Linked DNA regions of Oryctolagus cuniculus. The protein of the gene in region 4 purifies or fractionates together with the protein of the main gene of each other region. This does not show direct contact. Links are inferred from orthologs where the notes say so. Each region holds a gene or a part of one and is shown on either strand. Other genes may lie near its edges.

Evidence for each region.
Region 1: the proteins of TNKS1BP1 (region 4) and CNOT11 purify together in Homo sapiens (affinity purification with mass spectrometry; 5 studies listed by BioGRID and IntAct, counting the BioPlex papers as one, with this or other methods). This does not show direct contact. The link is inferred for Oryctolagus cuniculus from reciprocal best matches to the Homo sapiens genes TNKS1BP1 and CNOT11.
Region 2: the proteins of TNKS1BP1 (region 4) and CNOT6L purify together in Homo sapiens (affinity purification with mass spectrometry; 4 studies listed by BioGRID and IntAct, with this or other methods). This does not show direct contact. The link is inferred for Oryctolagus cuniculus from reciprocal best matches to the Homo sapiens genes TNKS1BP1 and CNOT6L.
Region 3: the proteins of TNKS1BP1 (region 4) and CNOT2 purify together in Homo sapiens (affinity purification with mass spectrometry; 5 studies listed by BioGRID and IntAct, with this or other methods). This does not show direct contact. The link is inferred for Oryctolagus cuniculus from reciprocal best matches to the Homo sapiens genes TNKS1BP1 and CNOT2.

What each region holds. Positions count from the first base shown.
Region 1 is NC_091433.1:107,379,281-107,382,861, forward strand, and holds part of CNOT11 (CCR4-NOT transcription complex subunit 11), read right to left. Parts: intron 3,242-3,581; coding exon 3,077-3,241; intron 10-3,076; coding exon 1-9. UniProt on the Homo sapiens protein: Component of the CCR4-NOT complex which is one of the major cellular mRNA deadenylases and is linked to various cellular processes including bulk mRNA degradation, miRNA-mediated repression, translational repression during translational initiation and general transcription regulation.
Region 2 is NC_091439.1:88,150,322-88,154,531, reverse strand, and holds the start of CNOT6L (CCR4-NOT transcription complex subunit 6-like), read right to left. Parts: upstream 2,835-4,210; 5' UTR 2,668-2,834; coding exon of another isoform or gene 2,663-2,667; 5' UTR 2,590-2,662; coding exon 2,585-2,589; exon of another isoform or gene 2,331-2,584; intron 1-2,330. UniProt on the Homo sapiens protein: Has 3'-5' poly(A) exoribonuclease activity for synthetic poly(A) RNA substrate.
Region 3 is NC_091442.1:72,885,161-72,888,741, reverse strand, and holds part of CNOT2 (CCR4-NOT transcription complex subunit 2), read right to left. Parts: intron 1,219-3,581; coding exon 1,157-1,218; intron 1,068-1,156; coding exon 1,018-1,067; intron 1-1,017. UniProt on the Homo sapiens protein: Component of the CCR4-NOT complex which is one of the major cellular mRNA deadenylases and is linked to various cellular processes including bulk mRNA degradation, miRNA-mediated repression, translational repression during translational initiation and general transcription regulation.
Region 4 is NC_091432.1:14,816,007-14,819,587, reverse strand, and holds part of TNKS1BP1 (182 kDa tankyrase-1-binding protein), read right to left. Parts: intron 1,714-3,581; coding exon 1,368-1,713; intron 1,118-1,367; coding exon 967-1,117; intron 831-966; coding exon 694-830; intron 1-693.

The DNA.
Region 1 (3,581 bases), on a different chromosome or scaffold from region 4:
ACTGGCGTTCTGGAAAAGGGTACAGGAGGAAACTTGTAAAACCGAGGGCACCAAGAGGCAATAGAAAAGACAGACTAACCGGAGGAAGCTGTCTGCAACACACCAAGATAAAAGGCCAAAGGGCCAGACTCTGTGTATGCATAATATATTCTTAAACTGCTACAAATCAACTTGGAAAAAAACAGGAAAAGTTAGACTAATGAACAGGCATTTTACAAGGAAGCTTAAGTGACTAATAAACAGTTGAAGCTATTTAATCCCATAGGAACCTAGGGGAATTCAGTTAAAGCACAGGATAACACACACTCACCAGGACTGACCAGTTAATGAGGGTGTTATTATCAAGTGCAGAGGACATAGGGTCACACACACTGCTCCTGGGGATGAAAAAAGGCATGGCGACTTTGGAGGACAGTGTGACATTACCTGCTGCTATGATGTGGATTTGGTTTATCCCCCAAGGGTCCCCAAAAGTTAGAAGGTGTTATCAGCTGGGTCCCCAGGGCCTAGCAGGAGATCCTTGGGTCACTGGAGATTTGCCTTCAGAGGGGATCTGGATCCCCGGGACCCTTGAGTTCTCAGGAGAGGGTTACTGTAAAAGGGGCAAGCCTGGCACACACGCCACACCTTCACCAGACCCTGTGCCACATAAGCTTTCAAAACCATGAGGTAAATACACTTCTCTTTCTAAGGAACAGGTGTGAGGTATTTTGTTAACGTAGCAAAAAGCTGAGTAACACACCTAGTGAAGTGTGACACGTGCCTATCTTTCCAAGAGGAAACACAGGAGTCTTGGCAATGCTCGCAGCTTAAACAACCGATATCCTACTGCACGAACATACCAACAGCAGTGACAGGCAGCCACGGCAGAGACTCGGCGCCACCCTGCACTCCGAGCTCAACACTCAACAGGAGGAGAGGCCCAGTGAGGAAACCTGTACCCAGTGCATGAAGTAGGCAGGGGCGGGGGGGAAGGCGGGAAGGCCGGCAAGCAAACGGAGACAGCGTATCATGGACGGACGTCAGGCTAGTGATGGGGGGTGAGGGGGCAGCAGGCAGCAGCCTCCATTCCCTAACCTGGGCTGGCCGCTGCTGTGGTTTACCGCGTGACAAGCCCTCCAAGCAGCTGTGGTCTGGATTGTGTCATTTTAAACAAAGAAGGCTCAATCCTCATTAAGGAGCTACAAAAGTCCATGAAAGACCATAAGGCAAATGGAGGAAAAAGCCCAGAGACATAGAAAGAACCCTCAGAACACACATCAGCTAAGAGGGGGAGCTGCCTAATGCTGCCTATCCCCTCGGCACCAGCCAGTTTTCATACTATCTCTGGTTAAGGAAACCACCATTTGCTTTCTAGTAGATCATATCTGGCACTAGAGGCTAACGAGTATTTTTGTGTTCCTTTGGCCTTCAAAGTCTTTAAGATTTTATTTATTTGACAGGTAGAGTTACAGACAGTGAGAGGGAGAGAGAGAGAAAGGTCTTCCTTCCATTGGTTCTCTCCCCAAATGGCCACCATAGCCGGCGCTGCACGGATCCGAACCCAGGAGCCAGGAGCTTCTTCCGCATCTCCTACAAGAATGCAGGGGCCCAAGCACTTGGGCCATCCTCCACTGCCTTCCCAGGCCACAGCAGAGAGCTGGACTAGAAGAGGAGCAACTGGGACTAGAACCCAGCACCCATATGGGATGCCAGCGCTGCAGGCAGAGGATTAACCAAGTGAGCCACGGCACTGGCCCCAGCCTTCAAAGTCTTAAGAAGATTTCTCTTGCTTTCAGAAAATAACCATTGGTATACTGATATACTCCAGTTAAAAAGTGCTGTTCAGACTGTTCCAAAGAGAAGTAAGTTACTACAACACGTGGCCTTGTATTAGAAGCCCAGTGTGTGCTATATGGGGTCTGAGGATAGGGCACTGTCAACATTACTCTGCAGCTCACTCACAATATCAAGGGTTTGCAAATCTAGTGACATGTTACAGTTGCCCAAGTGAGAAGCTGGTGCTGTGGCACAGCGGCCAAAGCTGCAACACCAACATCCCATATGGGCACCGGTTCTAGTCCCGGCTGCTCCTCCACTTCCGACCCAGCTCCCTGCTAATGGCCTGGGAAAGCAGTAGAAGATGGCCCAAGTCCTTGGGCTCCTGCACCCACCCAGCGGAAGCTCCTGGTTCCTGACTTCAGATCAGCTCAGCTCCAGCCATTGTGATCATGTGGAGAGTGAACTAGTGAACTAGTGGGTGGAAGACCTCTCTTTCTTTGCCTCTCTATAACTGCCTTTCAAATAAATAAATAAATCTTTAAAAGTAATAACTGCCCTAGTAAATCCCTCTTGCGTGACAAGAGCTGTGTTGTAGAGTAGGCAAGCAAAGATCCTCTGATTTCTCAGAACTCAGACAGCCTGACCCTGAACAGAAGCTACAGCAGGTCTTATTATTATTTTCTGTCATCACCCACTGTCTGCTTCAGAACCCTCATTCATTTGTTTATGTGTAGCACAGAATATTCCAAAACAACCCTGAAAAAGAAGAACAAAATTGGAAGTGTTAACACTTCCTGATTTCAAAAATTAGTACAAAGCTGCACTAATCAAAACAGTGTGGTACTGGCAAAAAAGACACACAAGTACAAACCAAGAGAACACACTAGAAAGCCCAGAAATAAACCCTGGCAAACAGGAGAGAAGGACTTTCGACAAGGATGCCAAGAAAACAGTTTTGGCTCCTTAGGGTCTCTTGAAATTCCTTTGGATTTTTGTTACTTCTGCATAAAATGTTGCTGGGATTTTGACTGGAATGGCCCTGAATCTGTAGATTGTTTTGGGTAGTACTGACACCTTAACAAGTGAGTCTTCAATCACAGGATTATTTTTAATAGAAACTAAACGTTAGCCAGCATTCCTCTACAACGGGAAAAGCAGTCATTTCAAGTGAAAACTCAAAATGTTCTCAGAGGCCCCATTAGCATCAAAACAGGACGTGCCCTCAGGAGCCTGTGCTGAAACGACATTTTTTATGGAAGTAGAGACGCAAAGCTAAGAGGACCAGCACTACCACCCCCGGAGGCCCACGGCTCACCCGCCAAGGCTAGCTGAAGTCCGCTGATGTCCACAGACTGGCCCATGTTTCCGACGTCCATCAGCGCGATCTGGCGAGGGGTCTTTTTGAAGAGTTCCCTGGGCGGTGCCAGCATCAGCTGGGAAAGAAAGAACTTTTCCGGTGGAGTTATAGGAGGTAAAAACCCTGGAAACAGAAACGCACAACAATTTCTCCAGTGGCTAATTTTAAACATTAACCTGAATCTGGTAAAACTAGCATTTGCTATGTGCTACCTCAACCCCCATATTTTTAAAGACTAAATTACAAGTAAGTTTCAATTAGCCAAATAAATACATTGATGACCGGTGTAACTAAATTTGGCATTTGAAAATTCTATGATCTGCGGCACCATCAGCCAAACTAAAGGTTTTAGTAACTATTAAGAACTTCACTTTGGGGCCAGCGTTGTGGCACAGTTGGTAAAGTCACCACCTGCAACACTGGTCTCTCATATGGACGCTGGTTCAAGTCCCATCTGCTCCAC
Region 2 (4,210 bases), on a different chromosome or scaffold from region 4:
AGTTGATACAGGACTTTTATTTATATTCAGAATATTCCAAAGGATTTCGTTTACTGGAATCAGACAACATGAGCTATTTTTGTAGCACTTAACTCTGGATTTCTATAGGTAAATTCTGGTTCCTTGATCCTTTTTAATACTTGAGTATACTAGAACATATATGCTATGTGTGCTTAAAACTTTTTTCCAAGGTTATATAACAAAAACCCCTAAGAGGTAATGAAACTTAGAGATTAGCAATTAAAAAATAGGAAAAATATCATGGGGCCTGCGCTGTGGCTTAGCGGGTAAAGCCGCCGCCTGCAGTGCTGACATCCCATATGGGCGCCAGTTTAAGATCCGGCTGCTCCATTTCCAATCCAGCTCTCTGCTGTGGCCTGGGAAAAGAGTACAAGAATACAAGTCCTTGGGCCCCTGCACCCATGTGGGAGACCTGGAAGAAGCTCCTGGCTCCTGCCTTCGTATCGGCCCAGCTCCGGACGTTGCGACCATCTGGGGAGTGAACCAGGGGATGGAAGACCTCTCTTTCTCTCTCTTCCTCTCTCTGTGTAACTGTGACTTTAAAGTAAAGTAACTACAAACTAATATACTAGCCCATTATATATATATATACACACACACACACACACACACTCACACACACTAATATACTACAAACTAATATACTAGCCATTTTAATATTTCTAGAACAAAGTTTTATATGCGTTGTTTTTTATACTTTATGTACAACCAAGGACAGAAATATTCTATTGTCATGATTTTAAGCTTATAGTTACATAATATTGTTTTGGGTAATTAATCGGTACTTATGTTTTTCAATGTTGATAGGGCTGCAAGAGGCAGAACTAAAATTTAACTAAGCATCTACTACGTACCAAACGTTTTCTCATTCTAATCTCATAACTGTAGTATCATAAAGGTATTATCACTCTATTTCAGATTAGAAAACACAGTCCTGTAGAAACAAGATACCTTGCCTAAGGTCAAAATAGCTAAGAAAAATGGCATAGCTGGGATTGTAACTGAAGTCTGGAAAACATCCTTTTTCCACTAAACTGCATGTGCTAAGTTGTTCTTCCAGGAGTGCCAACAGAAAACATCCATCTCTTGCTAGGGAGCAGCATGCACTATTTCTTCGTGAGACCTGGTTCAGACAGGGACAAGCAACCTCTGGCCGGAACTCAAAACACAGCCCACAAACGCTCAATCTGTACTATGGCTTTATCCATAGTGGAGTTCTAGCTAGATGAGCTAGTAACTCCGTTCCAATGTAAAGAGGGTGGAGTCGACAAAAGTAAATCAGCAAATAATTATCCAAATGCCATTTACACTTGGTTCTGAAACACACTGCACGCCTATGAGCTAGCAGGCTTCTCTTCGTAATTGCGTTTTGCTTAAGACTACTCTCCCAACAGCTTTCCAGGAGCACACACCGAGTACACAATAGAGGCTGCCTGCTCGACGCTTCGACTGACGACGAGGACCACGAGAGGCGGGAAGGTAGCCGCATCTCCCCAAAGGCAGCGCTGCCCTTCCACTGCGTACACACGGCTCCCCTCAACTCCAACACAATCCACCTCGAGAGCCCAAGCCAAGCGGGCGGCCGAGTTCAGGAGCATGACAGCTCCAGGAACTTCCTCTTCCTCCCCGACCTCCCGGCTTGGCTTGGCTCGGCTCGGCTCGGCTGGGCTCGGCTCGGCTCGGCCCGGCGCGAACACGCCTTTCCCCTAGGAGGCAGGAGACGACAATTTCAAATGCACAACGCCGAGCCAAGCCACCACCACCACAGGCCAGCAAAGCCCGGTTCCCGGTGTTCCCCCGCCCCTCCCAGCGAATCGACCTCGTGGAAGCAAAAAAAAAAATTACATCTCACCAACCAGAAAGTATTTGCAACACAAAACGCAAATGTTTTCTCAGTCCCTCCACGCAGCCCGAAGGGAAGTGGTCCCGACAGCGCGTCTTCTCCCCGATGGACTGCTCCGAACCACTTTCCCTGGGGTCCCCGCGCCCGTGGAACGCCAAAATAAGCCTTCGCCTCTCCTCGGGGGACGCGGAGGCGGCCGGGGCGACGGCAGTCGGCGCGTCCCGCCTCCGACTCTCACCTGCCCAGGCCCGAGGCACCCCCGTGCGCCCGCGCGGGCTCCGCGTCCCGGGAGGCGTCCGGGCGGGCGGGCGCCGAGGCGGTTAGGCCGCGCTGCAGGCCGGCGCGCTTCCTGCCGCGGCCGCGGCCCCGGGAACCCAGACCCGCAGCTCGCCGGGCCGTGCCGCCTCGCGTGGGCCGCACTCGCTCACCTCCCTGCCCGGCGCGGCCCCCGCGGGGCAGCTCTCACCTGCGAGGCTCGGGAGCCTGGGCCACAAAGCGGGAGGGACACGCCACTCGGGGGTCCCGGCCGCGGGCGTGGACGCCCCCCGACACTCCACACACACACCCGGAGCCTTCGCCCGCCTCCGACCAGCGCGGGTCACCCCGCCGCCCCCTCCGGTCACTCGACACACACACACACACACACCCACTCGCGGGCCGTCAGGCCGCCCGCCAAAGTCCCAACTCGCACACCCACACGCGTATTTGTCCCTCTCCCACCTCATGTCCCCGGGGACGCGCTAGTCCTCCCCAACGCTCGCGATCGGTCCGACTCGGAGGCACACACACACACTCTACCTCATTCTCTGCCTCCGGCCCACAAGGAGCAACAGCAGCCATTTCCCCGCGGCAGGGGAAACACCACACACACTCACACAGACACACACGCCCGCGAGCGCGAGCGAGCGAGCGCGCGCGCGCGCGCGCGGGCCCCCACAGATGCTTCCCCTCCGGAGCCGCGGCCGCAGACGCAAACACAAACACCCACGCCCGCCCGCCCGCCCCGAGGGGAAGCCGCCGCGGCACGCCGGGGCCCGGGGCCCGAGGCTCGCGGGCGGCCGGGCGCGCCGGCCCCGGGGTCGCGGAGGGCCTGCCTGGTCCCGCACCCCTCCTCACCTGCATTCAGCGCGCCAGGGTCCGGGCGGCGGCGGCGGCGGCGGCGGCGAGGCGGCTGGCGCTGGGGCTGCGGCGGCGGGGGAGGCGGCGGCGGCGGTGGCGGCGGGGCTGAGGGCAGTAAAGACATGCAGGCAGCCCGCCGGGGGGAGAGGCACCGGCCAGAGGGGACGCAGGGCGGGCGGGCCGGGCCGGGCCGCCTGAGGAACGGCAGAGGCGGCGGCGCGGAGGGCGGCCGGAGGGAGCGAAACGGAGCCGGAGCGGGGAGGGGGACGAGGGCCGCGCCGCTGGGCTTCGAGGACGGTGGCCCTGGTCGCACTGGAGAGGCCCCGCGGCCGCGGCCGCTGACGCGAAGGCCTCCGCCGCCGGAGGAAGCTGCGCCCCCGCAGCTGCCGAAGCCGCGGCTATAGCTCCGAGAGCCTCACAGAGCCCGGCCTTGGCCTTGGCCTCCTGGTGCTGGGGCTGCTGCCGCCGCTGCGGGGGTTGCTGCTGCGCCTGGTGCTGCCGGGGCCTTGGCTGAACAGAGACGCCAGCTTTCGGTGCCTTCGTTCTCGCTCACACACGTTCACAACCCCCCGAGAGCCGGGGGAGAGACGTCCGGGCAATATCGGTATTGAGATTAATAACAAGGTGCAGAGAGTGCGAGAAGGAGGAGGGTTGATTGACGTGGAGGGGCTGGCGGGAGTCAGTCACTCCCCGGCGCTGAGGGGTGGGGTGAGGGGGAGGAGGCGGAGCGGCCGCGGGGCGGAGCTCCAGGCGCGCGCCTCGGGCCCGCCCCTCGCGCGCCGCGGTCGCCGGTCGTGCGCGTGCGCGTGCGCGCGCGGCGGCGGCCTGGGGGCTGGCCGTTTTCTGCTTGACCCTTGTCGTTTTCTTACTCAGTCCTCTCTGTGGACGCGGGGAGGAAGGCTGAGAAGGCTGGGTGGGGTATCAGGCCAGCGTTTACTAAGTCGTGCGGCAGGAGACGGAAGAACGCGCCTCGCTGCGCGCTCGCCTCAGGCGGCCCGAGAGCCGCCGAGCGCCGGTCTCGGCTGCTAAGGAGACGCCGGCTGCGGCGAAGTGAGCGAAGCAAGGGTTTCCTGACAACTCCGGTTTTTTGTTTTTGGTTTCACGTGTAACTCCTGTAAGTTGTGTCGTGAAAGGTAAATAAAAGAATGCGTGGAGATAGCTCCGTCCTAGTTTCGCATCCTCCCTTCTCGCGGTAGAATTACGCTCCTGGGGCAGTTTATTTGTGCC
Region 3 (3,581 bases), on a different chromosome or scaffold from region 4:
TGGTAAGTTTATTTTGGTGCAAAAAATTTTGAAACCCATGCATAGTTTTTTCAAAATATGCACATTTTGGGGCAGGCGTTGTGCTGTAGTGGGTTAGGCCACCACCTGCAATGCTGGGATCCCATATGAGTGCTAATTCGAGTCCCAGCTGCTGCACTTCTGATCCAGCTCCCTGCTAATGTTCCTAGGAAAGCAGCAGAAGATGGCCCAAGTGTTTGGATTCCTGCACCCACGTGAGAGACCTGACTCCTGGCTTTGGCCTGCCCAGCCCTGGCCATTGTAGGCATCTGTGGAGTGAAACAGCAGATGGAAGATCTCTCTCCTTCTCTCTAACTCTTTCATTCATATATCTTAAAGAAAAAAAATGTGCATTTTCCATGAACTTTTTGAAGTCCTCTCTCTTCTGTTTTCTCACTAAATCATATCCTTTCACCAGGCAAAAATTTAGATACCATTTTTTTCCTAACAGAAATAAACTCTCTTGGTTCTTCCAAGGAAAAATGTTTAGCATTTTTTTCCTTAGATGAAAAAAGACAGAGTAAGATTAATTATTATACAATTAGAATTTTAGGTAATTAAAAAAAAGAAAAATACAGGGAAAAAAGCCAGAAGTCATAAATACTTTATAAAAATATATATATAATGCTTCACTAAAATTACCAAATCTGTTAATATGTGTAAAGTAAAATCATTCTTATTGACAAGTGTATAAAATGAGAAAATCAGAAGGAAATTTATCAAATTAGCTTATTCCCATCAACTGTGGTTATGGTTGTACCCTGTCATTTAATTCAAGAAATAGCTTACCAGTCCTATCATTGTTTTGTTTTTAAAATAGAAAACATCATCAACATTAGCATAAACAAAAATAAGTAAAATTGTTACATGTAACTGAACATACAAAAGCATACCCCTCAGAACACTAATTATTTAAAAAATATTATGCTATCTGAACTGAAAAACAGTACCTGGAAAATAAATTCATGCTGACTGAGTAGAATAATAAACTACACTCACCTTATCCCTAATGTGAATGTTCGTTAAGTACTCAGATGGAACATGGAAGTCTGGATAATAAAATGAAAAAAGCCTTATTAACTGATTCTCAGTTGTAAATATCTTTTTAAAAGATCTCAACACAAATAGATTCTCCTACCTATGTCTTGAGGTCGACAAGGTGAAGATGCCCAAGGTGACGCAAATTTGGGGTAGAGATTTCTGAAAAAGGGGGAAAAAAACCAATTTGAAGTCCAAAGTAGAAAAAAATATATCTAATTTTATTTCAGAAAAATCAGGAGAAACAAAGACTTAAAATATAAAATGAGCCTCTTTACTTCTAATTCCTTTTCTTGGGTTTAGTATGAGTTAAACAGCAGGAAACCAAAACAAATATGTATGTGAAAAATACAATAGGACTACTTCCCTCAACAGTCATACAGCATTAGTAACACCATGTATTAACAAATAAAAATGTTCTGCTTTTAACTGTTTCAATTCAAAATGCTTTGAATTCATCATGCCCCTAAGTTAAACTACTTTTCCATTTATGTGGCCAGGGAATAAAATGTCAGTATGAAAAGCAGTTTCAAAATCACCATTTACGGAGTGCCTATTATACGTCTGGCACTGTTCTAGGTGCTTGAGATGGATCAATGAACAAATAATTATCACTAACAACATGAAACTTTCTGATTGAAGATGGCAGACTGGAGGGAGGCAGACAATTGGCATAATAGATCAATATATAATTGCCCGTGTTAGGGGAGGGTTTGGGAGAAGAGACTGGCTGCATATTTAAAGTAGTGTGGTCAGGTAAGGTATCACTGAGGAAGTCAGATCTTAACAAAACTTGAAGGAAAAGGAGGAGATAATCATATTAATTACCGAGCAAAAAACTGCTCTTGTCAGAGGATACTGCTACACCAACTGAGGCAGGGCATGGTTGCCATACACAGAAGGAAAAGGGAAGCTGTGACACAGTGAACGAAGGGAAAAGTTGCTGAGGAAGGATGATGGGAAAGACGATCACTAGGAAGACCTTGTAGGCAAGGCTTTGGATATTTAATCCTAATGAAACTACAAACTCTTACTGAGTACTGAACAAAGGAGCAACTTATTCAAAAAGGTTTGTCCTGGCTGCTATATGAAGAGGAGATTGCTTGGGAAGGAGAAAGGGATAATCAAAGATAGTTGTTGAGTGACTAACAGAGTACCCAGGCTACAAAGAATAATGATTCAAACCAGGGTGGTAGCAGTATAAAATAGTAAGATACACTCAGATTCTGTATATATCCATATATATATCAATTAAAAATACAAGACTTCCGCAAATGACTACCAAGGGAGCAAATGTAGAGCTCTAACCAAAAAGGGTCAAGAAGAAAAGGAAGAATCAGCAAAGGAAATAAAGAAGGGTCAACCAGTGAGGTCAGGTAAGAATGGTGTCCTCAAATTAAAATGAGAATGTGTATTAAGGAGGAAGAGTTCCTAGAAGAGATCACTGAACTTAACAACAAGGGGGTCATTTCATAAGCTGAATGAGGCTAATATCAGTGGAGTGGCAGAGGCAAAACCATGATTGAATGAGTTCAACAGAAAAATTTTTTTAAAGATTATTTGTTTATTTAAAAGGTAGAGCTAGACAGAGAACTTCTACCCACTGGTTTACTCCACAAATGGCCGCAAGAGCTGGAGCTGGGCCAGTCTGAAGCCAGGAGCCCTGAGGTTCTTCCATGTCTCTCACTTGGGTGCAGGGGCCCAAGGACTTGGGCTATCTTCTGGTGCTTTCCCAAGCACAGCAACAGGGAGCTGGATTGAAAATGGAGTAGCCGGGACTCAAATGGGCATCCATATAGGATGCTGGCACCACAGGCAGTGGCCTTACCAGCTACACCAATAGTGTCAGATTATTCTTTTGTGTTTTGCTTCAAAGGAGAATAAAGAAATGGACATGTGATTCAAGGAGACAGATCAAGAGACAATTTTTCTTCTGAAAAGAGAAGTAACAGTGTATCTGTATGCTGCTGGAAATGATACCATCTAAGAGTGGAAAACTGTTAAGTTTTCATAAGAGGTTATAAATAGCATGGATTGACTATGGTAACAGAGAACAAGAAAACAATAAGGTAGATGTAGATGGCAGCAGGTACTAAGATTTGGTGGCAAGACTATGCTGATGTTGTCTTCTGATTATTTCCACCTCTCTTAGTGAAACAGAAATAAAAAGCAAGTATAGGACAGAGGGAAAGTTACAAGTTCTTATATTAAGTGTCTGTGAAAGTGTAAAACTGCTATATATATGAGAGCGAAAAAGTGAATAGACTAGGTATCCTTGGTATGATGCTGTCTGGCAGAATTAAAGGTCTATTTTTGAGGTCCTGGTCACAAAACATGAAAAGGAATCAGACAGTGAGCCTGTGCACTTTCCCCTAGTTGGGTTCATCAGAACAGAACAGGAATGGAGGCCACGGCTCAATAGGCTAATCCTCCACCTAGCGGCACCGGCACACCGGGTTCTAGTCCCGGTCAGGCGCCAGATTCTGTCCCGGTTGCCCCTCTTCCAGGCCAGCTCTCTACTGTGA
Region 4 (3,581 bases):
GGTGTAAAAGGGACAGGCAGGAGGTCTCACGGAGCGCCACGCAGTCCCCAGGACCACGCACTGACTCCTCTGCAGTCTGTTTACCCCAGTGCCCTTAGAGGTGAGCTCCCCTGGGAGCTGAGCCAGGACACAGTAGGTCCTCAGAAACATACCGCCGGGTTGCATTCAGACAAGCTGGACCGGTCACTTCCCATTCCTATGCATTTGCTCATCGGTTCCCTCTGTCTGCAATGCCTCCAACTGCCCCAGGACCCACAGCCAACGGCTGTCCTACCTCAAGGCTGAGGGCAGGTGCTTTCCTGAGACCCTCCCAAGCCACCCTCCCTCCCCCTCACACCCACCCTCAGGAAGTAAACTCCTCCCTCTCTGGAGAGGCCCAGCCCTTATCTATGCCTACCCTGGTGACTCCTAAACTTCCCCCTTCACCCAAGCTAGTTATGAGCATGGCTCAAGTCCACTACTACTCCTGAGGTTCCTGGACCAGAACACACTGTGTTCTCCTTCCATCCCACTTAGCACACAGCACAGGGTCCACCAGGGCCCGAAGGGATCTCCTGAGGCCCTCACTGGAGAGCAGAATGGAGAGGCATGGGAAATGGGTGATGAGTAGAAGGATGGGTAGCAGAAAGGCTGGATGCAAGGTGGTCAGCTGGTCCAGGGGCTGCACGTGTCTGCTGAATGATCCGATGATACCTTCAGGGCTGACGGGCTCAGGCCAGGAAAGAGGTTGACTTTCAGCCCCTTGGTGCCCAAGGACATCCGTGTCCGGCGGCTCTGAGGCTCCTCCACGACCTCCTCGTCTGAAGATGGCACCCGAGCAGCTCGTGGCTCTGCACAGGCCCGGGAGGGAGGAGGTGAGTGCAGGCAGCATCGCTAGATGTCCACCCTCACCTCCCACCCTGCCAACCCGGGCCCAGTTAACCCCAACATCAACGGAAACACCACCAAAGAAGACATTGCCCCTACCCGTGGAGTCCTGGAACAGCCGTGCATCCGACTCTGCCGCCTCCGACAGGCCCAGGGTACCCCCTGGCCGGATGGCTGGGGCTCGGTGGCCACGCTTGCGTCCTAGGTTGGCACGGCTCCGGTACATGGCACTGTCAAGGACCTCAGTATCCTGCTTAGGACAATGGTGACACCCTGCCATCCCTGCGCCATGGCCTTGCCCCACCCACAGGAGCGCCCCCAACAGCTGCAGGTGGAGCTTCCTTTTCCCAGGACCCCACCACCACCACCAGCCTTCTTCCCAGGCTGAGGCTCCTCTGGGAAACTCCATCAACGGGGCTTTGGCGCCATCCGCCACGCCCCTGCACCGCCAGCAGCCCACCCGCAGCCCACCCGCAGCCCTGGGCTCACCCTCCACTGACCTCAATAAAGGAGAAGTCCTGGCTGGGAGTGCTGGGGGGAGGCCCTTGCGGAGGGCGCCAAGGGCTCAGGGCTGGCCCCTGCTCGCCCTGCCTGGCCCCTGCCGGGCCCCAGCTGCCATCCACCTCTTCCACCCGGCTGGCTTCACCATCAGGCTGGGGTCTCCAGGCGGGCAAAGGCTCCCCTTGGTCAGCACTCGCTGCGGCTCCTTCATCCTCCAACAGGTCCCTGTGGCCCGAAGCAGTTGACTCCCTACGGGCCCCAGCCTTGGAGCTGCCAGATGCCAGCATGTCCTCCAGCAGGTCCTGGGAGCCGGAGGGCGGGGAACGGGCCAGGCACCCACTGGGGCTGCAAGGGGGATGGACAGAGAACAAGGTCACCCATGAGGCCCACCTCCCCAGCCTCCTGAGCCCACTTCACAGGAGTCATCTGCTCCTGCCCCAGCCTCTCCCTCCCTCTCCTGCCCAGACTCCTGTGGCAAGGACAGGGTCAGGGCCTTGAGCAGCACAGCACACGGGGGGAAGGAGGGCTGGGCCGGCCTGGGGGGTTCAAAGTCCCAGTCTGCCACATACTAGAGATGGAGCTTGCCTTATCTGAATGCTTGGGACCAGAAGTGCTCCGTATTCCAGGTTTTTCCCAGATTTTGTAATATCTGCATACACGTGAGATACTCTGGGGACAGGACCCAAGTCTAAACAGGAAACTTGGGGCCGGTGTTGCAGCCTAGCATGGGTTAAGCCACCGCCTGTGACACCGGCATCCTACTTGGGTGCTGGTTTGAGACCCGGATGTTCTACTTCTAATCCAGCTCCCTGCTGGTGCACCTGGGAAAGCAGCAGAGAATGTCCAAATGCTTGGGTCTCTGCACCTGCATGGGAGACCCAGAGGAAGCTCTGGATTCCTGGCTTTTGGTCTGGCACAGCCCCAGCCATTGCAGCCATTTGGGGAGTGAGTCAGAGGATGGAAGAGCGCTCGCTCTCTCTCGCTCTCTCTCTCTCTGTAACTCTGCCTTTCAAATAAATAAATCTTAAAAAAAAAAAAAATACACACCCACACACACACAAAGTTCATTTGTATTTATGTACACCTTACACACATAGACTGGACACAATGTTATATAAAACATTTAGTGCACCTACATTCCATGCTATCAAAGTGCTCCCTCCCAGGGGTATCTGCTGGGGCTGTAACGCTCCTTGGGATGGGCCAGGTGCTGGCCTGCCTGCCTGCCTGTTCAACTCTGGTCATCTTCAGCCCCATGCCCCCGCCATGCCACAGCCCTTTGCTCCCAATGTCTCAGAGCCACCTGGAAGGGCAGCACACTCCCGGCCCACACTGAGTGCTGTCTGAACAAGCTGCCCTCGCCTGGCAAGCTTTCCCCACATACCCAGATATCCTCTCACTGGTTCTCCCCTCATTTCAAGTTCAGGTCCTGCCTCCATGCCCCCAGCCTGCCCTGCCCCCGGCCACTGTGGGCCTTCTCAGCCTTACAGCATGGGCTCCGCCTGTGCCAGCGCCTACTTCTGCCACTCTGTCACCACGGCCTGTCTGGGAACTCCTCAAGGGCAAAGTCAGGGCCTTTTTCTCCTTTTTGCCTCTATGCCCCCAGCACCTGGCCCTGTGCCTGGCCAGGAGCCGGACCAAGCAAATGTTTGCAGAGTGAAAGAGACACTGGGTCACCTTGGACCTGGACGCAGCTCAGGCATCTTCTGCCTGCTGCTCCTGCAAAGCAAAGCACGGCACAGACACACTCTCATCGGCACCTGCTTGATGTCCAGCTGCCACTCCCGAAACCATGAACGTGCTGCACCCACACCTCTGGCAGGGAGGGGGCGTGCTGGCACCCACGGCTCCGCAAAGAGCCACGCCCGACACACTCACACCGCGCACTCAAGTGTGGGAAAGGCTGGCAGGGCAGTGCCCGGAAGCCAGGACGCCGAATTCCCAGCGGGATTGGCGGGGGAGGAGAGTGAGGCAGGTGAGTCAATGTGGAACAGGAAGAGGGGGCAGGGAGAGGGAGAACGTGTCAGTCTGTCCTTCCACAAGCTGCTGACAGTTGGAATTAAAGCAGGCGGGGGTGGGGGGCGGGAGGGAGGGAGGGAGGCAGCAGCGCAGCAAGGCAGCGGCAGGGACAGCGGCCCTGGCTGGGGGCCAAAGCCAACCCACCCTGACGGGCAGCTTAAAGTCAGGGAGGCTTGGGAAGGGCGAGGGCACTC